Lonchura striata: one gene and its partners. The protein of the gene in region 2 interacts with the protein of the main gene of each other region in a pairwise test. Links are inferred from orthologs where the notes say so. Each region holds a gene or a part of one and is shown on either strand. Other genes may lie near its edges.

Region 1 (7,819 bases), on a different chromosome or scaffold from region 2:
GGGATTGGGAAGGGGAAGGAAATCCGGGAATGGGAAAAATGGGATAGGCGGCCTTGGAGAGGGGAAATGGGATTGGGAAGGGGAAGGAAATCCGGGAATGGGAATGGGAACAGCGGGATAGGCGGCCTTGGAGGGGGAAATGGGGGTGGGAAGGGGAAGGAAATGTGGGAATGGGGATGGGAACAGCGGGATAGGCGGCCTTGGAGAGGGGAAATGGGGGTGGGAAGGGGAAGGAAATCCGGGAATGGGAATGGGAACAGCGGGATACGCGGCCTTGGAGAGGGGAAATGGGGGTGGGAAGGGGAAGGAAATCCGGGAATGGGAATGGGAACAGTGGGATACGCGGCCTTGGAGGGGGAAATGGGGGTGGGAAGGGGAAGGAAATCCGGGAATGGGAATGGGAAAAGTGGGATAGGCGGCCTTGGAGGGGGAAATGGGATTGGGAAGGGGAAGGAAATCCGGGAATGGGAAAAATGGGATAGGCGGCCTTGGAGGGGGAAATGGGGGTGGGAAGGGGAAGGAAATGTGGGAATGGGAAAAATGGGATAGGCGGCCTTGGAGGGGGAAATGGGGGTGGGAAGGGGAAGGAAATCCGGGAATGGGAATGGGGAAATTGGGGATACGCGGCCTTGGAGAGGGAAAATGGATGTGGAAGGGGAAGGAAATGTGGGAACGGCTGGGAAAATCGTGGAGAGGGAAAGTGGGTTTGGGAAGGGGAACAAAACTGGGAAAGGGATTTAGAAAATTTGGGAAGGGCAGGAAATCCAGGAATGGCAGGAAAATCAGGGATACATGGCCTTGGAGACAGAAAGTGGGTTTGGGAAAGGATTTAGGAAAACTGGGAATGCGATTTAGGAAACCGGGAAGGGGTTTAGGAAACTTGGGAACAGTCAGGAAACCTGGATCTGGGAAAGGGTTTAGGAAATCTGGGAAGGGAGAAGAAAGCTGGGAAAGGGTTTAGGAAATCTGGACCTGGGAAAGAAAGCTGGGCCTGGGAAGGGGCAGGAAATCTGGGAATGGGAAAGGGTTCAGGAAATCTGGGAATGTCTGAGGTCAGGGAGGCCCCACAATCCCAAAATTCTCCTCAAGGTCACCCCCAAATTCTCCTGGGGGTCAGGGCCAGGGAGGCCCCACAGCCCCCAAATTTTTGGGGTCACAGAGGCCCTACAACCCCCAAATTTTTGGGATCAGGGAGGCCCCACAACCCCCAAATTTTGGGGTCACAGAGGCCCTACAACCCCCAAATTTTTGGTGTCACAGAGCCCCCACAACCCCCAAATTTTTGGGTCAGGGAGGCCCCACAATCCCCAAATTTTTGGGGTCACAGAGGCCCCACAACCCCCAAATTTTTGGGGTCACAGAGGCCCCACAGCCCCCAAATTTTTGGGTCAGGGAGGCCCCACAACCCCCAAGCTTTTGGGGTCACAGAGGCCCCACAGCCCCCAAATTTTTGGGGTCACAGAGGCCCCACAGCCCCCAAATTTTTGGGTCAGGGAGGCCCCACAACCCCCAAATTTTTGGGATCAGGGAGGCCCCACAATCCCCAAATTTTTGGGGTCACAGAGGCCCTACAACCCCCAAATTTTTGGGTCAGGGAGGCCCCACAGCCCCCAAATTTTTGGGTCAGGGAGGCCCCACAACCCCCAAATTTTTGGGATCAGGGAGGCCCCACAATCCCCAAATTTTTGGGGTCACAGAGGCCCTACAACCCCCAAATTTTTGGGTCAGGGAGGCCCCACAACCCCCAAATTTTGGGGTCACAGAGGCCCTACAACCCCCAAATTTTTGGGGTTACAGAGCCCCCACAACCCCCAAATTTTTGGGATCAGGGAGGCCCCACAATCCCCAAATTTTTGGGTCAGGGAGGCCCCACAACCCCCAAGCTTTTGGGGTCACAGAGGCCCTACAACCCCCAAATTTTGGGGTCACAGAGGCCCCACAACCCCCAAATTTTGGGGTCACAGAGGCCCTACAATCCCCAAATTTTTGGGTCAGGGAGGCCCCACAACCCCCAAATTTTTGGGTCAGGGAGGCCCCACAACCCCCAAATTTTTGGGATCAGGGAGGCCCCACAACCCCCAAATTTTTGGGTCAGGGAGGCCCCACAACCCCCAAATTTTTGGGGTCACAGAGGCCCTACAACCCCCAAATTTTGGGGTCACAGAGGCCCTACAATCCCCAAATTTTTGGGTCAGGGAGGCCCCACAACCTCCAAATTTTGGGGTCAGGGAGGCCCCACAACCCCCAAATTTTTGGGTCAGGGAGGCCCTACAACCCCCAAATTTTGGGGTCACAGAGGCCCTACAACCCCCAAATTTTTGGGTCAGGGAGGCCCCACAACCCCCAAATTTTTGGGGTCACAGAGGCCCTACAACCCCCAAATTTTTGGGTCAGGGAGGCCCCACAACCCCCAAATTTTTGGGTCAGGGAGGCTCCACAACCCCCAAATTTTTGGGGTCACAGAGGCCCTACAACCCCTAAATTTTTGGGTCAGGGAGGCCCCACAACCCCCAAATTTTTGGGGTCACAGAGGCCCTACAACCCCCAAATTTTGGGATCAGGGAGGCCCCACAATCCCCAAACTTTTGGGTCAGGGAGGCCCCACAACCCCCAAATTTTGGGGTCACAGAGGCCCCACAACCCCCATATTTTGGGGTCACAGAGGCCCTACAACCCCCAAATTTTTGGGGTCACAGAGGCCCCACAATCCCCAAATTTTTGGGATCAGGGAGGCCCTACAACCCCCAAATTTTTGGGTCAGGGAGGCCCCACAACCCCCAAATTTTTGGGATCAGGGAGGCCCCACAACCCCCAAATTTTTGGGATCAGGGAGGCCCCACAGCCCCCAAATTTTGGGGTCAGGGCCGGGGAGGTCCCAGGACCCCTGAAGAGCCCAAAGGTGCCCAGAAAAGCCACCCCAACCCCGGCCAGCCCCAGCGCGCTGCCCACGGGGCGAGGAGGGATCCGTCACCTTCCAGGAGCCGCCGGATCTCCTCTGGGATCGGGGCGTCCATGGCATCCATGGGATCCTCCACGGGATCCACGGGATCCTCGGGATCCTCGGGATCGCGTCCCACCGGGGCCGCGCCGGCTCTGGGGTGACGGGGAGGAAGCCGCGAGGGCGGGGACACCCCAAAAACGAGGAGGAACCTTTGGGGTTTGGCTTCCTCCTCCTCGCCTTCAACCCCAGCGGATCCCCGGGATCCTTCCCAGCTGTCCTGGGCCATCCCAAAAATTCCGGTGGGGAAAGCTGAACTCCAGCCAAGGAGCTCCGCCTGGAATTCCCGGCTGGAATTTCCTCCCGGAGCTTCCTCGCGCTGTTCCTGCCCGAAAAATTGGGATTTTTCCAGGTTTGCCACCCCAAAAATTCCAGAGAGGAAAAGCTGAATTGGAATTCCCGGCTGGAATTTCCTCCCAGAGCTCATCTGGAGTTTCCCTGGGGCTGTTCCTGCCCCCAAAACTGGGATTTTTTCCAGGTTTGCCACCCCAAAAATTCCAATGGTGGAAAAAAGGGGATGATCTGGGATGAGATTTCCCCTTTTCCCATTTTCTGCGTGGAAAAGAGGTTGGGTTGGGAAAAAAAATCACCTGGGATAGGGAAAAGATGGAAAAACTCCTGGAAATGTGGGAGATTTCTGAAAGGAAATACTCCTGAAAACATTGAGATTTCCTCCATAAGGAAATGTGGGAAATATCCCTGGAAATTTGGAGATTTCTATGTGGAAATATGGAAAATATCCACGGAAATATGGAGATGCTCCTCCATAGGGAAATGTGGGAAATATCCCTGGAAATTCAGAAATTTCCATGTGGAAATACGGGAAAGATACTTCTAAATTTGGAAATTTCCACATGGAAATACTCCTGGAAATCCAGAGCTGCTCCTCCAGGTGCTCCCGGGTGTTTTGGGCCCTGCTTTTCCAAGAAATAAAGGAAAAAATTCAATTTCTTTTTCATTTCTCAGCACAAAGCAGACAAGGAGCAGGTGCCGGGGGGATCCCGAGTTTTTGGGGTCGGGATTTGGGGTCGTGGAGCCGAAGGAGAAACCCCAAAGCAGCTCCAGAGTCCTTTTGGGGATATTTTGGGGCCATTTTGGGTTGGGATTTGCACCTCAGCAATCCCGTTTTTCAAGGAGGGTGATTTTACGGAGAAGGGCCCACAAAAGGCAAATTTCCATGAAAATTCCCTGCTGGATTTTTTTGGATTTTGGGATTTTGGGGTTTTTTTTTCCTTTGGGGACAGAGGGAGCACCGGGGGATTCTCCAGATCTGGGACCCAAAACCTCGGAGCTGTCGCTGCCACGTCATTCCCAAACTTTCCCACCCGGCATTTCCCAACGGATTTTTTTAACCCTTTCTGTGCCGGGTGGGAAAATCAGGGTTTGCCCCTCCCCCCTGCAGCCCGGCCCAGCTTTAGCACCGAAACGGCCCCAAAAATGGAGATTTGGCAGCGGATGCTGAGGCCTCGAACACAGGAAACGCAGCCCGGGGGCCCCGAGCAGAGGTGGAAAATCCGAATATCACAGGAGCCGCTCCGCTGGCCTTTGGGGGGCCTCGAGCCTTTTTTGGGGCAAAATTTGGGTTTTTCCTTGTCAAAAGCTGCTCCTCAAATGTCCTGGCTGGGTATGGTTGGGATTTAGGAAATTCTGAGCCTTTTTTGGGGCAAAATTTGGGTTTTTCCTTGTCAAAAGCTGCTCCTCAAATGTCCTGGCTGGGTATGGTTGGGATTTAGGAAATTCTGAGCCTTTTTTGGGGCAAAATTTGGGTTTTTCCTTGTCAAAAGCTGCTCCTCAAATGTCCTGGCTGGGTATGGTTGGGATTTAGGAAATTCTGAGCCTTTTTTGGGGCAAAATTTGGGTTTTTCCTTGTCAAAAGCTGCTCCTCAAATGTCCTGGCTGGGTATGGTTGGGATTTAGGAAATTCTGAGCCTTTTTTGGGGCAAAATTTGGGTTTTTCCTTGTCAAAAGCTGCTCCTCAAATGTCCTGTCCAGGTGGGGCTCAAATTTAGGGAATTCTGAGCCTTTTCTCTGGAAAAATTTTGGATTTTTTCCCTGTCAAAAGCTGCTCCTCAAATCTCCCTGACAGGTATGGTTGGGATTTAGGGATTTAGGAGCCTTTTTTGGGAGATAATTTTGGATTTTTTCCCTGTCAAAAGCTGCTCCTCAAATCTCCCTGACAGGTATGGTTGGGATTTAAGGATTTCCAAACCTTTTTTGGGAGATAATTTTGGATTTTTTTCCCTGTCAAAAGCTGCTCCTCAAATCTCCTGGCCAGGTAGGGTCTCCTGAGGTGGGATTTAGGGAATTAAAGGCAGGAAATAAAAATAACAGAAAATAAAAATATCTCAGGTAGGGTCTCAGGGAAAGGATTTTCCCAATTTCCAAGGAAATGACCTTTTTTTTTTTTTTTCCTTCCCTCTTTTTCCTCACCACTTCAATTTTTGGATTTTGGAACGGTCACAGATTTGGCTTTGGGGTCAGCTGGGAAGGAGAGGGGGGAGCCTGGCACCGTCCTGTGCCCGCAGCATCCCAAATTTGGGGATTCCGGATTCAAAACCTCCTCCCCACGGGAGAAAATTCCCACCTGGATCCTCGCAGGGCCCGGCTGAGCCCGGCTGGCATCCTTGGGAAATGCGATTTCCCGAAAAACGGAGGCGGGATTGGGAGTAACCATGGAAACGGAGCTGGGAAAACGGAGAGGCAGAGCCCCGGTCCTGTCAGGAATGTCGGGAATATCGGGAATATTTGGGGGGAAACGGGAGAGGCAGAGCCCTGGTCCTGTTGGGAATGTCAGGAATATCGGGAATATTTGGGAAAATTGGGGGGAAAACGGGAGAGGCAGAGCCCTGGTCCTGTTGGGAATGTCAGGAATATCGGGAATATTTGGGAAAATTGGGGGGAAAATGGGAGAGGAAGAGCCCTGTTCCCACTGGGAATATTGGGAATATCGGGGGGAAAACAAGAGAAGCAGAGCCCTTTTCCTATCAGGAATATTGGGGAAAATTGGGGGGGAAATGGGAGAGGCAGAGCCCTGTTCCCACTGGGAATATTGGAGGGAAAATGGGAGAAGCAGAGCCCTGTTTCCACTGGGAATATTGGGAATATCAGGAGGAAAATGGGAGAGGCAGAGCCTTGGTCCCACTGGGAATATTGGGAATATTGGGGGGGAAATGAGAGAAGGACAGCCCTGCTCAGAATTTGGGATTGAATCCAGTGGGGAATTCCTAAAGGACAGCCCTGCTCAGGGTTTGGGATGGAATCAAACCCTGATGCCTTTTAGGATTGTTTTTCCCAACAATTGCTCCCTGCAATGGGCTGGGCTGGAATTTCCAGGGAATCTGTCCCAGAATTGTCCCAGGAATTGCCTCGGGCCAGGCTGGAATTGTCCCTGGATGGGGCTGGGTGGAATTCCAGCTCCTTCCCACCCAAACCATTCCATGGCGCTGGAATTCCGCAGCTCCTGGCCCCGGGATTGGGAAAGGCCAGGCCAGCATTCCATGGAAATTCCAGGCTGGAAAAGGGCTGGGAAAGGCCAGGCCAACGTTCTATGGAAATTCCAGACTGGAAAAGGGCTGGGAAAGGCCAGGCCAGTGTTCCATGGAAAAGTTAGAAAAGCTAGAAAAGCTGGGAAAGCTAGAAAAGCTGGGAAATATGGAAAAGCTGGGAAATATGAAAAATATGGAAAAGCTGGGACAGCTGGGAAAGCTGGGAAATATGGGGAATACAGGGAATATGGAAAATATGGATAATAAAGCTGGGAAAACTGAGAAATATGGGGAATATGGAAAATATGGATAATAAAGCTGGAAAAGCTGGGAAATACAAGGAATACGGGGAATATGGAAAATATGGATAATAAAGCTGGAAAAGCTGGGAAATACAAGGAATACGGGGAATATGGAAAATATGAATAATAAAGCTGGGAAAGCTGGGAAATACGGGGAATATGGAAAATGTGGATAATAAAGCTGGAAAAGCTGGAAAAGCTGAGGAATACAGGGAATATTGATAATAAAGCTGGGAAAGCTGGGAAAACTGGGGAATATGGAAAACATGGATAATAAAGCTGGGAAAGTGGGGAAGGCAGGGAAAGCTGAGAAATATGGGGAATATAGAAATTGTGGATAATAAAGCTGGGAAAGCTGGGAAATACAGGGAATATGGAAAATATGGATAATAAAGCTGGGAATTCCCCAGGGAATCTCTCCTCCCCTTCCCTGTGGGAGCAGGGAGAGCAGGCCCAGGCTGAGGGAATTCGGGGCAGATTTGGGGTTCTGACTCCAAATTCCCAAATTTTGGCCTCATCCCGCCGGAAAAATCCCAATCCTGAGCCCAGGAGGGCGTTCCCAAATCTCCAAAAAAAAATAAACCTGGCTCAAAGAAAACCCCGATTTTGTGGGAGGTGAAATCTTTATTCCCACGGAATTTCTGCTCCGTGCCTCCTGACAGGAAAAAATTCCTGCCGGGAGGAGCTTCCCATGGGAATTTTTGGGGTTTGGGTGATCGCTGGGGTCGGAGTTTCCGGCGGGGAATATTCCGTGATGCCGGGAGGGTTTTGTTAAAAGCAAAGCCTGGTTCCACTTTCCGGGCCCGACTCCTCAAAACGCATGGAAAGGGCGTCAAAAATCGGAATTTTGGAGGGATAAGAGCGGGAAGCAGAAATCTGGGATTTGGGATGTTCAGGATTCCCTCAGAACCAGGCCTGGCCGGTGGAAAAGTGGGGAGAATTCCCTCTGAATTCCATAAAAATCCGAAATTCCTGGATTTTGAGCTGCATTCCCGGCCAGGGAAGATGAAAAGCCGTCCCTGGAGCCCAGCAGA
Region 2 (7,332 bases):
GTGATTAACCCGAGGCAGAATCCCAGCGCCAGCAGGGACAGTTTCTTTCACCTCTGTCACCTGAAATTCCAAATTAAAGGTTGCTGTGTCAAGGAGGAACCACAGACTTACAGTTGCTTCTGATGTATTTGGGGTAACAGCAGCATTTGTGGGTTGCAGTCAGTGGGACAGACCACGGCCACAACCAGCAATTCTCTTGTCCAGCACAACACTGATGGGATGGAAGCTGGGATACAGACACAGGATAAAGCTTGATAAACACAACAAGCCTTGAGGCAAAGCAGATTTCAAGTCTGCAGATTTTGGAAGGGGCAAACAAGATCCAGTTCCACCCACAGACCTCACAGAATGAAGCAGAGAGTTCTGCTGCACATTCCCAGAACACACTGAAGCAGGCATGGAAACCAGTAAACAAAAAAAGCCAGGCAGCTGGATTTTCAGGTCTAGCAACATTTTTGGGGAATGGAATCCACCGACTCCAGATTCCTGGGCTCCCTTTTATCAGTAACAGAATTCCCAGTGCTGGCAGGCCAGAAACCCACCGTGCAGGTGTGTCCTTTGCACATCCAACAGGAAACCCAGCCTGGCACAGAAAGTGAAACAGTTCCTGGCCTTTATGATGATGAGTTCAGTTAAATATGGAACAAGTGAAAAACACAAGCAGGTCAAAGTGCAGCTCACAGCCTGTTATTAAGCTGAGAAGTCACAAGCTTAGAGTAACTCCACACCATGGGATAATCCTATGCAATGGGGATAGGTACCCATTCCCCTCACAGGGTTTCCAGCTGCCTGCACGCTACAGCTGCTGTGGTGTCTGCACCCCCTGCCCCATTTTGGGAGCTCCCCAGCCAGGACCTGCCCCGGGTCCTGGGGAAGGCACCCACCCTCTGCTCCTTGGAGCATCCCACTTGCATCCCACTCACAGCTCCAAGAATGCATTTACAGCATAAAGTGACGTGTGGTAATCTCCTTTTTTTTTGGATGATGAGGCTGAAAGCTCATTAAGGCCATTACAGCAGAGGCGACAGGTGTAACAGGGGAGAACCATTACTGTGTTTATGCTGTTACAGCAACATGTGTAATTTACTTTTAAAACTTTAATCATTTGGCTGCCAGGACAAATGAATTGGCGTGATGATGCTTTCCAGAGGAAGATGCTGATGATGTAGTTTGCAGGGCTTGTGCATCTGGGATTCCCCTGGGATAAGAGATAGGATTTGAAGGCTCACCAAATGCATTATAGGATCTACCTCACTTCACCTCACTGAGTTTTGTCCCTCCTGCATTTATCTCACCTTGTTTCTCCACTGCTGCTTTATCTCTGTCCTCAAAGCAGAGAGGAGGCAAGACAAGGCATCTCTGTTGGTGCTGACTCTCAGAGCACAGCAGTCGTAGCCCTGGCCAGCCGGGCACACCTCTCCAGGAGAGCAGAGGTGAGGCCCAAACGTAACTGCAGAGCACAGACTGATAAAAATATCCCAGACTGATAAGACAGTGCCCTGAGCCAGCAAAAGTTGAGGAAGTGGTGGCGGCACTGGGGAGCGGCCTCAGGAAAGGCTTAGGTCAGGAAGAGCACAGGGCAGGGATGTGGCTGAGGCTCATGGAGCAGAGGTGAGGTGGGCACAGCCATAGAGAAATCCATAGGATGTGAGTCTGGGATGAGCAGAATCCATATCTATCAAAGTACCTTGTTAACACACATAGCCCCCTCTCCCCGCCATGGCCAGCGGATTGCACCTGAGCAGAAAATAATATCAAGCCAGAGGGATGGTGGATGGATGAAGACACCCTACACCCACATTCCCTCTGTGGGAGGCTGGGACTAACCCATCCCTTCTGTAAACAGGAGCACTGTCCCGTTTAAACATGTGAATTTCTCCAGAAACAATTATGCAGCATAAACACAGCAAAATCAACAGGGTGAATTTCGAACTAATAAAGATTTAATCTCTCAGTCATGAGACTGCGTTTGTTAGGAAAATACACATACCCCTGAGAATGCAGCTACGGTTGCTATACTACACACTGCTCAGCAGCTCACTGGGCATTCTTCCAAATCCATTTATTTTTAACATCAGTCACATTATTCAATTAATTATAAAAACACTGAGGTTTTCAAGAGATGTTTCTGATAAAACTGCAAAGTAAATATGCGTGAGAACAGCAAGGATTAAAGTGTCTGTAAACTTTAGCATTTGAGGCTGTTGCTATAAACAAGAGAAGTCCTCGAGAAGGTTATTTACCAGAGTGAATCATAGCAGATAACAGAGTCTCCTCCCACACACACACAGGGATCGTTTGTCCTTTACCTAGGGATGGAAGCAGAGCATTCACATGTCTGTCAGCCCTGTCAGCCATGTGCTGGGGCATGGGAGGTGTGAGAACTGGCCTGGATTCTTCAGATGCCTCTGGTATTTCAGCATCATATTTTGTAAATATCAAATATTTAGCAGGCTCTTTCCTAATAGGCTGGAAACAGAAATCAAAAAATGCCAGCCCATCTCCAGCAGTGCCTCAAAGCCTTGAAAACACCAGATAGGAATTTATGGAAGGATTCAAGCCTCACCTGCAAGAGCAGCCTATAAACCTTGCTGTTTCCTGGTGACTCCCTGTATGTCCTGTGATGATTTCACTGTACTAATACAAAATGTTTTCCCAGTCCAAAGTCTGTGTCAGCTTAACCTGGTAAGCAAAAATCGTAACAATGCATTTGGTTAGATCCAATTTTTCACTTTTATCCAAGAACATTTCTGTGTACTTTTCCTAGCAGACTCTTTTTTTTTTTTTTTTTCTTCCCAAGGTTCACATTGTGGTGGAATTATTTGATAGCTCTGATATTGTCTGCATAAGACGGCAGATTACAGGCAAGGAGTCTGGGCATCAAAGCCTGGCAGAGAGCAAGGACTCTCAGGCTTTCATCCAAGCTTTGCATATCAGCCTTGGGAACAGTTCCTCCTTATGAGCCTCAACTTCTCAGCCACAGAGGCTCTTGGGCAAACGCCTAAGTTTTAAATCTAGGCAAATCACGTTGATGATTGCAGCCTCCTTCAGGACAAGGAGAGACATTTTGTTCTGCTTGCCCTTAAACAATGGAATCCAGACTAACCAGGGATCCCAGCCGCAGCACTGGACACAGCAGCAGCACATAATAACAGGGAGCCGTGCTGATAAAGGGATGTGCCCCACTGCCTGCCACATCTCACATGTGGAGGGTGAGATTCCAGCTCTGGGCCCTGCCTCGTGCTGCTCCCCAGGGCTCTGTGGTACCAGGGCCTCGCTCCTGCTCCCAGGCAGCCCAGGCACTGCTGGCCCGACCCACAGCCTCTGCGGTATCCTGAGGGGACAGGATGGCCACACCGCTGAGCGGCCTGAGGAACCATACGCCTGCAGCCCATGGGACATGCTGATGAGAGGGATGTCACCCAGAGCTGCTGGGGCACTGGGACAAGCCAGGGGAAGAGCTCCTGGCTGTCAGGAGGATGCAGAGGTGACATCTGTCACCAAACCACAGAATGGGTCAGGTTGAAAGGGTCCGCAGTGGGTCATCTGGCTCTGTCTCCCTGCTCAAGTAGGGTCATCCCAGCCCACATGGCACAGGATTGTATCCAGACAGTTCTGGAATATTCTCAGTGAGGGAGACTCCACAACCTCTCTGGGCCAGTGAGCAGTCACTGCACAGGAAAGAAGTTCTTCCTTATGTTCAGGTAAAACTTCCTGGGCATTGCTTTCTGCCTATTGCCTGTTGTCCTTGTGATTGGCACCACTGACCTGAGCCTAACTTCATCCCCTTGGCACTCCACTTTAGGTATTTAAACACATTAATGAAGTCCCCTCTCAGTTATCTCTTCTTGAGGCTAAACAGGCCCACCTTCCTCAGCCTTTTCTCACAGCAGAGATGCACCAATTCCCCAGACATCCTTGTTGCCCTCCACTGGACCCACTCCGTATGTCTCACGTTAGAGATGACTGCCATCACCTCTGCCCAGGCAGGGACACCCCAGCGGCAGGCCCCTACCATCCGCTCAGCTCCCGTGCCAGCTGGACCAGCTCAGCCTGCAGAGGGGCTCCAAGCCCAGCGGCCCGAGTCCCGCTGAGGGGACACCGCTGACCCCGCTTCCCGCCCAGCCCCTCAGCCAGGGGGCGGGGCTTGTCCAAACCGACAGCTCTCTCCTCCAATCCCCGCGCTCTCTTCCCCGCCCCGTGCAGGATCAACCAATCACTGCCTCGCACCGCTCAGCCCGCCTCCTTGCTGCTATCCAATCGGACGGCGCCGCTCGCGTTTTCTCGTCTCGGGGGAGGGCGGGTGTTACGCGCTGTCGGTATTCCCGAAGCGCGGCAGCGCCGCTCTCCCCGCGCGCTGCCCACGTACCGGCTGCGCTATCGGCGTAGCGGCCGCAGTTGGCGTAGTGCGGGCAGAGGCGGCCGTGTCGGGGAGCGGCGGCCGCCGTGCGAGGAGCGGGCTGGAGGAGCGGGCAGGGCCGGGCAGGCACCGCGCCGGGACCGCGCCGCAGGTCAGTGGAGGGCGCTGGGAAGCGGGCTGAGACCTTCCGTAAGGCAGCTGGTGATGGGGGGCCGGGAGAGGGGTGAGATCGCGCTGCAGCTCGGTGCACGGGCTGGGAGAGTGCTGAGCCCGGCTGCAGCTCGGTGCGCGGGCTGTGGGGCCGGAGCTGGGCTGCGGCCCGGGCATGGCTCGGTGCTTGGTCCCTGGGGCTGGGCTGCGGGGCAGCCGGGGGTTCAGAGGGCCAAGAGGTGGACTAAGATCTCGGCACAGCTCAGTGCACAGCTTGGACAGAGAGCTGGGACCTGGGCAGAGCTCAGTGCCCGGCTGGGACCTGGGCACAGCTCCGTGCCCGGCTGGGACCTGGGCAGAGCTCAGTGCACAGCCTGGACAGAGAGCTGGGACCTGGGCACAGCTCAGTGCACAGCCTGGACAGAGAGCTGGGACCTGGGCACAGCTCAGTGCCCGGCTGGGACCTGGGCACAGCTCAGTGCCCGGCTGGGACCTGGGCACAGCTCAGTGCCCGGCTGGGACCTGGGCACAGCTCAGTGCCCGGCTGGGACAGAGAGCTGGGACCTGGGCACAGCTCAGTGCACAGCCTGGACAGAGAGCTGGGACCTGGGCACAGCTCAGTGCCCGGCTGGGACCTGGGCACAGCTCAGTGCTCGGCTGGGACAGAGAGCTGGGACCTGGGCACAGCTCAGTGCACAGCCTGGACAGAGAGCTGGGACCTGGGCACAGCTCAGTGCTCGGCTGGGACCTGGGCACAGCTCAGTGCTCGGCTGGGACCTGGGCACAGCTCAGTGCCCAGCTCGGGCAGGGAGCTGGGTCCTCAATACCATTCAGTGCATGACCCTGGAGTGCCAGGGGACAGGCTGTGACCTCACAGTAGCCAAGGCTGAGCCCTGGCAGCAGCTCGGCACAGGGACAGGTACTACTCGTGGTGTGGAGCATTGACCTGTCGTCCCCCACTCTGCTCCGAGGTGTCTGCAGGACAGCAGAACCCCGTGGAGGTGCCCGGGCCCTGGCAGAGCCAGCCGGGTTCTCCTGCAGCCACCGGGCAGGAGAGGGTCTTTAATCACCCACACAGGCAGCTCCTAGAATCGGTGGGGATTGTTTACTGCCCGGTGTTCATAACCTTGTCCTTTTGAGATGCTAATCAGCTCCTGCCTCCGTGGTTTAGGTGTTTTGTAAATGTGTAACGAAATCGCTGTCTGCAGCCCCAGATCTGAACCGAGCAGGGCACAGCTCTGTGCAGAGCCGGTGCCGGGGGAAGGCAGCATTCCCGGTGGGACTGGCCATTGGACAGCCAGATGACCTGATTCGGTTGTTATGCTGTGTAATCTGGAGCAGGCTGCTTGTTTTTTTCCCTCTCTGCTGCTTTCTCCATTTATAAGATACAGGTGCTAACACTTAGGGCTGGTTGGAAACGCAGGACAGAAACATATCTTTAATTTCTTGAGATGGATTTTCCTTCCTCTTATTAGACTGTGTGTTAGAATGATCTTGCGCTGTAGACTGCTTCTAAATATGATGACTGAAAATAGAGCAAATTTTTATTAGCTGCTTTGCAAAACAGAAATTACAAGGGGAATGACAACAGTGAAGCTTGCCCTAGGCAAAAAGGGGAAAGAGGATGTTGGGGCTGGGCTAATTGGGGCCATACCTCTTCAGACTGGAATGAGTCTGGACTGAATATTACCTATCCAAACAGGTTTTAGAGCAGGAGGAGGAGCCCAAGACTGGCTGGAACTAATTTACTCATTTCCCTCCCAAAGGCTGACCCAAAGACCCGTATCAGAGTTGCACAAGAGATAGAGACTGGAAGCTCTTTGAATGTGCTGCCTGCAGACTTAAGGCCTCTCCAGGGACTCGAGATGACTTCTCACAAGAGATGCTTTCAGGAGGGGTTGTGCTGAAGACAGAGCACTGCAGCCTCTAACTGGGACAGCTCCTGCTGGTCTGGAGCTGAGACCCAACTTCCCTCCCTCCCGTTTCCCTCGGAGATGTTGCAGAGATTTAATCTGACCTCTTCCTGCTCACCTGAAGCCTGCCGTGGCGATGATCCCACAGCCAGATCCGACCACCAAAGAGAAGAGAATCGTGCGTTTGAAGCTGGGCCGTCGTCGTAACTGAACTGGAATTTACTCCCTGCCTGTGCTCCCAGAACGACTGCCCTTCCTCTGCTTGTCTGTTTGTGCTGTGAGCCACTTCTCCCTGATCTTGTTTGGAATTCCTGAGCTTTCCTCGCTGAATTTGCCCATGGCTTTCCTGATGAAGAAGAAGAAATTCAAGTTTCAGACAAGTTTTACTCTAGAAGAGCTGACTGCTGTCCCCTTTGTCAATGGGGTTCTGTTCTGCAAAATCAGGCTGCTAGATGGAGGAGACTTTGCTAGTTTATCTAGCAGGTAAGACCCTGTCTGCAGACTTGCTGCCTGGCTGTGCTTCTTTCCCTGGTTATTTTTCCTTTGAGTGGTTTAGCATATGGCAACCACTTGCTTACCCCTTGATGGGAATTTAATAGTTCTGTTGTAGGGCCCCACATGCCATATCATTCTCCAGAGCAGGGGAAGTACGTAGCTGGAGAGCTCTGGACCTGGGTGGTGTTGGCTGATTTGAGCTGGATTGAATTTTTCAGAGATGAGGGGAGAGAGCGAGAGGTCACTCCCCTGAAAGGGGATTAAATCCTCTCTTCTCTTTTCCCCTCCTCCTTGCCCAAGTTCTCACAGACTGTTTCAAACCCTGTTCTGTATTGCCTTTATGCCTTACTTGAAACTCAACTCTTTAGGAAACTATGTCTAAGCAAATCAACCCTTCCCAACTCTGCTCTCCCC
Region 3 (7,592 bases), on a different chromosome or scaffold from region 2:
CATCCCTGCATTTCCTGACCCCAAAAACCTCCTGGGAAGGGCAGCACAAACCCATCCCTGCATTTCCTGACCCCAAAAAGCTCCTGGGCTCTGGGAAGGGCAGCACAAACCCATCCCTGCATTTCCTGACCCCAAAAACCTCCTGGGAAGGGCAGCACAAACCCATCCCTGCATTTCCTGACCCCAAAAAGCTCCTGGGCTCTGGGAAGGGCAGCACAAATCCATCCCTGCATTTCCTGACCCCAAAAACTCCTGGGAAGGGCAGCACAAACCCATCCCTGCACTCCCCTGACCCCAAAAACCTCCTGGGAAGGGCAGCACAAACCCATCCCTGCATTTCCTGACCCCAAAACCTCCTGGGAAGGGCAGCACAATCCCATCCCTGCACTCCCCTGACCCCAAAAAGCTCCTGGGCTGTTCCTGCTGCTGGCTGAGCGTGACCCAGGCAGGGCTGGGATGTGGAATTGTGGAATGGGTGAGCTTGGAAAAGAGCTTTAGGGCCACTGAGTCCAGCCCAGGTTCACCACCGTGTCCCCAAGTGCCACATCCACCTGGTTTTTGAACACTTCAGGGATGGCGACTCCATTGGGCAGCCTGTTCCAATGCCTGAGCACCTTTTCCATGGAAAAAATTTGCTTTAATATCAGATTTCAGCCTCACTGAGGCCGTTTCCTCCCTCCAGCCCTGCTGCTGGCACCCCCAGATTCCCTCAGGATCCCCCCCGGAGCAGCAGCCTGTCCTGCCCACTGCCTGGGAAGATCTGCAGGATTTTAGGATTTCCAGCAGTTTGTACAAAACCCAAAGGGTGCAAACCAAGCTGTTACAACACCAGGAGGTCCCTGTGAATTCCAGGCTGGATGAAACCCTGGACCAGGCAGGGACTTCCCACCCTGTTCCCAGCTCCAAGCTGCTGCTGCTGTTTCTCCCCCTTCCTCAGGATGTTTTCTCCAGCTTTCTTTATTTTTTTTTTTTATTTTTTTTTTAGGGAACAGTTTGCTGTGAACAGGCAGAACCTGTTCTGGACACACTCAGAGCTGTTCCCCATCTCCACCATTTGCCAGCACGACTCAGATTATTTTATTTTTTTTTTTTTCCAGGATACTCCAAGCTCTCTCCTGCATGTGGGCTGCCTCACCCAGGGGAGACGTGGGCTTGGAAAAATCACATGGATGGGGCCCACGAGCCAAGCCCTGCTCCCTCTGGATCCTAAACAGGGATCCCAAATCTTTGGGGTCCCTGCAGACCCCACTCCTGGCTCTGATTGCCTTCAATGAAGGACAGACGTGGAACAAAACGTAATATTTTAGGAAAGATCTTCCACATGTTGGGCTTTGGCAGAGTCTGATGGTTTGAAGGGAGCCAAAAAATAACTAATCCTCCCCTCCTTCAGCCAAGGGCTGAGTGGGACCAGAGGGGAGAAAGGGGGGAAAAGAGAAGGAAGGGAGGAAGAGACAAGAAAAAATGGCCAAACTGGAACCAGTGACTCCCAGTTTCCAGCCAGAGCATTTCTAAGTCGTGGACACTGCAAGGGGTGGTAGCACCTCTGGAAGAATTTGTAATTCCTCCAAAAAATGGTTTCATCTGGGGCTTAAAATGATATTTTGGGGCTTAGGAACGTGTTAGTCCTGAATCACCTCCTGACGCCACCACAGCACATCCAGGCCAGCAAAATCCTCCCACTCCCAGTCCCCAGCATGACCTTTCCCCGTGGAAGTTGAGGAAAAACAGCATAAAAACCACCCCACGACGGGTTCAGTGGGAAAGGAGGGTGGAGGATGACCTCAGGAATTTGTTCTTTTTGCTTTGCTGGGTAAATAAAACGGATTTGGGGAAACGGAGCCGAGGAAGGAGGCGACACATGTCGCACACAGGGGTGGGATGAACTGAAAGGGTTTAAGCTCAGCGATGGAAAACACCATCCGTGCCAAATTTATCTGGAATTGAAAGCAGGGGCAGGAAAGCAGCAGGAGCAGAGGGGGAATTTGCGATTCCTGAACCCTTCCCAAAACGCATCCACAAAACCTCCCAGCGGCGGACGGGAGGCGGTGGGAAGGAGAATTCTGCTGGGGAGGCTTGGGAATGGCCATTGCTTCCTCTGAGGGAGGAAAAAGGAGTTTGTGAAGCCTCTTGGAGGCCCGTTCCCACACGGAATTATGGAATTGTGGAGCAGCTGATGGAAAATCCCATTCCTCCGTCCGGGGCTGCTCCAAGCCCGGCGCTGGGCGCTCCCAGGGCTGAGCTCCAAGGGCACCGCACCAACTCCTCGAGCCTGGCTGCGATTCCCGAACCTCTGGAGCTTTTCCCAGCCCTTTTCCCTCCCGCTCCAGCCGCTCTGCAGGAACCGGGAGCTTCCCGAGGCCGCCGCCGGGGTTACCGGGGTTACCGGGGCCGCTGCTCCCGGCGCTTCCTCCGCCTCTCCCGGCCGGTTTAAGGCTGGATCCGTCCCGGTTGTGCGGGCGGGTTTTGGGGAGGGGGAAACACCCCCAGTGACCCCCAGGTGTCACCGCCGCGAAGCCGATTCCCTGCCCGTGTCCCCTCCCCGGTGCCACCGGGAGAACGGCTCCCCGCACCGAGCCCCGCCCGGGGGTCCCGGCTCCGCTCACGGCCCGCACCGAGCCCCGGGATCACACCGAGAACCGGGAGGTACGAGCCCGGGATCCCGGGGGGTGCCAGGCTGGGCACCGGCGGGTACCGGGGGATGCCCGGCGGGACCAGCACCGGGATAACGGCGGGGAGCGCGCAGCGCCGGGGCAGCAGCGGCCGGGATGGGTTCTCCGGACCGGTAAGGGATGATCGGCCCGGCCGCAGCGCAGCGGCGGCGGGAGCGGGCGCGCGGTGCCGGTGTCTCACCTGGGTCGCTTTGTAGAACTGCTTCTTCAGCCCCGCCACCGACATGGTGCCGGTGCCGGTGCCTGGCCCGGTCTGCGGGCGGCGGGACCTGGCGCTGGGGGCGGCGGGAGCCTCGGGAGCCTCAGGACGCTCCGCCCGTCCCAGCCCGGCCCGGCCCGTCCCCGCCGCCGCTTCCGCCGCCGCCCCCGGCCGCCGCCACCAGCGAGCGGCGCGGCCGGAGCGCCGCGCGGGGCCGGCGCGCCCCCTGCCGGCCGGGCGGAGCCGAGAGAGCCGTTCTGTCGCGACACGCGCGACGGGCGCTCGTGGCGGGGAACGGCGGTGGCGCAGCCGTGGATTTCTCGTGACGGACGAAGCACCGCCCGCCGGGAGCGGACCGGGTGCGCCGCACGGGGACGGCGGTGCCGGGACCCCCGCTATAGTAATGGGGCGACAGAGCTCCAAATGGAAAACTACAGCTCCCAGCATCCCTCGCGACAGCGGCGCGCTTATTGGCCGCTGGTCCCGCCGCCATTTCGCGCGGTGGCTCGATGCCCGTAGTAGCGCGAGGGGCGGCAGTGCTGGCTCCACCCTCTCCTCCCGGTGCTGCGGACAGGCTCCTCCGGCCCGGGACCGGCCCGCCGCAGCGCCGTTCCCGCCCGGTGAGCGGGCATCCCTCGGGCCCAGCCCCGGCACCCAGCGGCGCCCCGCCGGCCCTTTACAAAACCGCCCAATCAGCGCCCGCAGCGCGCCGGACCGACACCCCCCTCCGCCAATCAGCGGCGCTGACGGCGGCGACCAACCGAGAGGCGAGGCGCCGCGGGGGAGCGTGGCCGGGCGGGTCACGTGGGGCGCGCTCCGCCAATCAGCGGCGCGGGACGCGGGGTCGCCCCGGCTCCCGCCAAGTACGAGCGGGACGGGCCGGGCGGGACCGGGCCCGGAGCCGCGGGCGCTGCGCGGGCCGCGCCGCCTCACGGGCCGGCCGGCACCGCCGCCAGCCGCGCCGGCCGCCGCCGCAGGTAGGGCGCAGCCCGCGGGGCGCGGCGCGGCCGGGGCGCGAGGTGTTTCCGGCGGCGGTTGGGCCGCGGGGGTGCGCGGGGCCTGCCCCGGGTAACAAAGGAGGTGCCGGAGCTGCCGCCGCGCCCCGGGGCTGGGCCCCGGCCCGCCCCGCAGCCTCGCTCGGGGAGTCACGGACCGGTTTGGGTGGGGAGGGATCCGAAAGCTCGTCCTGCCGTGGGTAGGGACGCTGTGTGCTGCGCCGGGGTGATGCAGCCTGGCCCTGGGCACTGCCAGGGGCAGCCGCAGCTGCTCTGGGCTCGCTGTGCCAGGGCCTGGCCGCCCTCACAGGGAGGAATTTCCTCCTCGCTTCTCCTCGGGGCCTCCTGGGGACGTTCCTGCTCTGCCCAGCCAGGAGGAGGCTGCGGCTGCTGGGAGCTGGTGGCTCGGGGGTGACAGTGGGACCCCTTTGTCCTCCCTCGCCGGCCCTGGGAGAGCTGCTGGGCTCGGCCTCAGCTGTCTCAGAGAAAGCCCCGGGTGCTGATTTGTTGTTTTCTCCCGTAGCCATGGAGTGCAGAGACAAAGCTGCTGTTCCTCCACGGAAGCTCGTCCAAGGTAAGGGAGTGTCTCTCATCCAGCACGGTTTTAGCAAGAACATCTCAGATGTGATTTTGTGGAATACATTGGCTGCACAAATGGGTTTTATGGGATTGTTTTGGGATTGGCTTGGCTGTGATTAAAGCATCTCTAAGTGGCTTATCTCAGTCTTATTCTTAAAAATGAATGAAACCCTTTGTCACCTCGTGGCTCTAACCTGGTGTTGTTGTTGCAGCTCGGCTGCCCTTCAAGCGCCTCAATCCTGTGCCAAAGGAAAAACTCGATGTGAATCCAGAGGTCAAAAAAGTCAAGAGCTCCCCGAGTGCTTTTGTTCCCAGCAAGGATCCCTCCCTGGATGCCTCAGGTGCCTCCCTGGACGATGTGGAGAATGACTGCCAGCTGAGCTCAGATGGGAATTTGCCTCCAAAACTCATGAATGGAAAAGGTCCATTGGACCATTTTATCCAGAAAAACCCAGGAGGTGACACGAGTGACCCCGGGGATGTTCCTGACCTCTCCAAGGGCTCTGCCCACGGACTCGGGGATGGCACGGAGCAGGAGGCTGTGGATTCTAGAGCTGCTGTCAGCAATGGCACCATAGGAAAGGAGCTGAGCTGCCTGAGCTCCTCGCAGAGCAGCCCAACAGGTGACTCCACGCAGACTGAGGGGCCCTGCGCAGCTGCAGCCAAGGCAGAGCAGGATTTGGGAGCTGGGAGCCAGCCCTGCTCCGGCCTCACGGCCTGCAAGGACGTGGCAGGCAGGAAGGGCACTCCAGGTGAACTGAAGGATGTGCTTTTTGAGGGGAAGGTGCCCGTGGTGCTGCTGGAGGACATCATGAGCCTGAAATCCCCCCAGGTGGCCTCTCTGGATGGCAGCACCGCCTCGGAGAGCGAGGCCCTAGAGTCGTCCCACGAGGGAGACTCGGGACTGACCAACTCCTCACTGAGCTCCGGGAGCTCCCCCGAGCTCCTGGCACAGACCAAGGGCAGCAGCATTCCTCTGGCTGCCTCCACACCTGCCAGGAAGGTTGGTCTGCTCTGGTTTGGGGTGCAAGTTGCTGTGGTGCAACGTTTGGGTTGCTGGGATTGTGGGGAGGAGGTTGAGTGGGGCAGTGAGGAGCGTTGGGAAGGTGGTGGTGGTTGATTACTGATTTGTTGCCCTTTGGAGTCTTTAAATCCTGCAGCTCAAGGGTTTGATTCTCTCTGCTTCTGGCTGCTGCTGGATTTACATTTCTTTAATGGAATACCCACTTGACACTTGGTGTTTTGGGAGCAGCAGTTTTGTACTTTAGGTGTTTTTTCCCAAGCTCTGTTTCATCCCCCTCCGAGCTGCTGGGATTCCTGTGAGGATGTTCCCCCAGCACAGCCAGTGCAGATGTTTTTTCCAGCTCTGAATTTCCTGCAGCTGCCATGGAAAAGCCCTGGCACAGATTTCCCAGAGCAGCTGCCCTGCCTCATCCCTGGCAGTGCCCAAGGCCAGGCTGGGTGGGGATTGGAGCAGCCTGGCACAGTGGAAATGCCCCATGGATGGGCTCTAAGGGCCCTCCCAACCCAAAGCATTCTGATTCTATGAAAAACCTCTGGATGAGGGGGTTTTTGTTCACCTGAGTTTCAGTTTAGCAGCTCTGCTTCAGCAGGAGGCCCCCAAACACTCTGATTTTTGGGGCAGTTTGGACAGAGAAGCTTCCAAGAGCAGCAGCACCACCACGGGGATGGTTCTCCCAGTCCTTTCGTTGTGTCTATCAAGTCAAGCGATCAATTCTTCCTCTCTGAAAACTCTCAGTCTTCCACCCCTAAAATAAACAGACTCAAGCAGGCATGAAGTATTTCCAGTGTAGCAGAACAACAAAAAGCAATCTTGGTGTAACCCAGTACTGCCAGTGGGGCTGGATTTGCTCGTCTGCTGCTCCCCAAAATGAGGGGCTGCACCCCAAGCTGTGCAGCTGCGAGTCCTGGCAGGTTTGTTTTCCTGGGAGGAAGCAGCTCTGAGGAGCTGAAGCCCTCACTTGACAGAACTCCTGTTTTATGGCAGCTAAATATAGAAAATAAAGCAGTTGGGCTGTGTTAGCCTGTTAATCACAATTTCACAATGTGATGCTGTGAATGGCAGGAGGAGGAGGGGGGGATCCAGTCAATCAAGTCACAGTGTGCTGAAATATTGACAATCTTTAACCAGTCTATGAGCAATGATCTTAAGCATAAACCACCTTTTTCTTTCCCCCATAAATAAAAGAAAAACGGGAAGTGTGCCCTGTTTGGAATTTAGGGTCAGTGAGCTGTTCCTGGTGGAAGATCAAGTGGACTGTGATGGCAAGAAGAAATTGTAAAAATGTGGAAAACACTCCTTGTATTCATAAAATTACAGCTAAATACTAAATATCACAGCAAGATAGGTGGAGGCCAAGAAAAAAAAAAACCCAAACAAACCCAATTTTAGCTGGAAGGAAGCGAGTTTGCCATATTGAAATGTCCCCTGTGGTTCAGAGCAGCTCCCCTGGGTGCTGTGCACGTGGTGTTCCCTTGCTGAGGGGACCTGAGGGGTTTGTTCATGGGAGCAGGAGCCCTGGGATGGGAATGGGGAGATTGGAAATTCCCAAGTTTTGTCCTCATTCCCTGCTCTGGGGGAATTTGGAGTGACTGGCTGTGATCTGCAGGAGCGGCCCGGTGTCACTCAGGCTGGGAAGGCAGGAGCAGGATCTCCTCTAAAACTTGCATTTTGTAATTCCAGGTACCTCAGAAATTCCACAGAAGTTCAGCAGAGAAGGAGAAGCTGAGATTGCAAAGAGTAAGGCATTTCCCTGACACCCAAACCTCCCCTGAGGAGCCGACCAAGGCCTTTGCCTTTTATCTCAGCCCAGCTGGAACATCTCTTTTGCCATTTTTCCTCACCCTGAGGAGCGTGGAAGGACCTTTAATGCAAGCAGTTAAAGTGCTTGCCTCTTTCCAAAGCTCCTGAGTGGAGCCCTGGCTGCGTCTGGGGCTCTTTGGGAAGAAATTAGAAACTCTGAAGCCCTAAAAATTTAGGTTTTGTTTTTATTAATACACGAGGCAAGTGGAGCCACTGTGTCTGTGGCTTCCCAGAGAATGTCACCACTGGATGCCACCACTGGGAATGCTCAAGCTCCAGGTTGTGTTTGCTAGGATGCAGCTCCTCAAGCTCCCTCATTCTGCTGC

The links.
Region 1: the proteins of EEIG1 (region 2) and SKAP1 interact in binary tests that used the Homo sapiens proteins (3 or more experiments, as listed by UniProt). The two-hybrid records come from large-scale screens. The link is inferred for Lonchura striata from reciprocal best matches to the Homo sapiens genes EEIG1 and SKAP1.
Region 3: the proteins of EEIG1 (region 2) and SH3GL1 interact in binary tests that used the Homo sapiens proteins (3 or more experiments, as listed by UniProt). The two-hybrid records come from large-scale screens. The link is inferred for Lonchura striata from reciprocal best matches to the Homo sapiens genes EEIG1 and SH3GL1.

What each region holds. Positions count from the first base shown.
Region 1 is NC_134627.1:8,231,912-8,239,730, reverse strand, and holds the start of SKAP1 (src kinase-associated phosphoprotein 1), read right to left. Parts: upstream 3,015-7,819; coding exon 2,972-3,014; intron 1-2,971. UniProt on the Homo sapiens protein: Positively regulates T-cell receptor signaling by enhancing the MAP kinase pathway. Required for optimal conjugation between T-cells and antigen-presenting cells by promoting the clustering of integrin ITGAL on the surface of T-cells.
Region 2 is NC_134624.1:777,438-784,769, reverse strand, and holds the start of EEIG1 (early estrogen-induced gene 1 protein), read left to right. Parts: upstream 1-4,319; 5' UTR 4,320-4,511; intron 4,512-6,212; 5' UTR 6,213-6,760; coding exon 6,761-6,906; intron 6,907-7,332. UniProt on the Homo sapiens protein: Key component of TNFSF11/RANKL- and TNF-induced osteoclastogenesis pathways, thereby mediates bone resorption in pathological bone loss conditions.
Region 3 is NC_134630.1:6,027,685-6,035,276, reverse strand, and holds the start of SH3GL1 (endophilin-A2), read right to left. Parts: upstream 3,015-7,592; 5' UTR 2,896-3,014; coding exon 2,851-2,895; intron 2,783-2,850; exon of another isoform or gene 2,771-2,782; intron 1-2,770. Other genes in the region: CHAF1A (chromatin assembly factor 1 subunit A), read left to right, coding at 4,389-4,437, 4,655-5,445, 7,147-7,203. UniProt on the Homo sapiens protein: Implicated in endocytosis. May recruit other proteins to membranes with high curvature.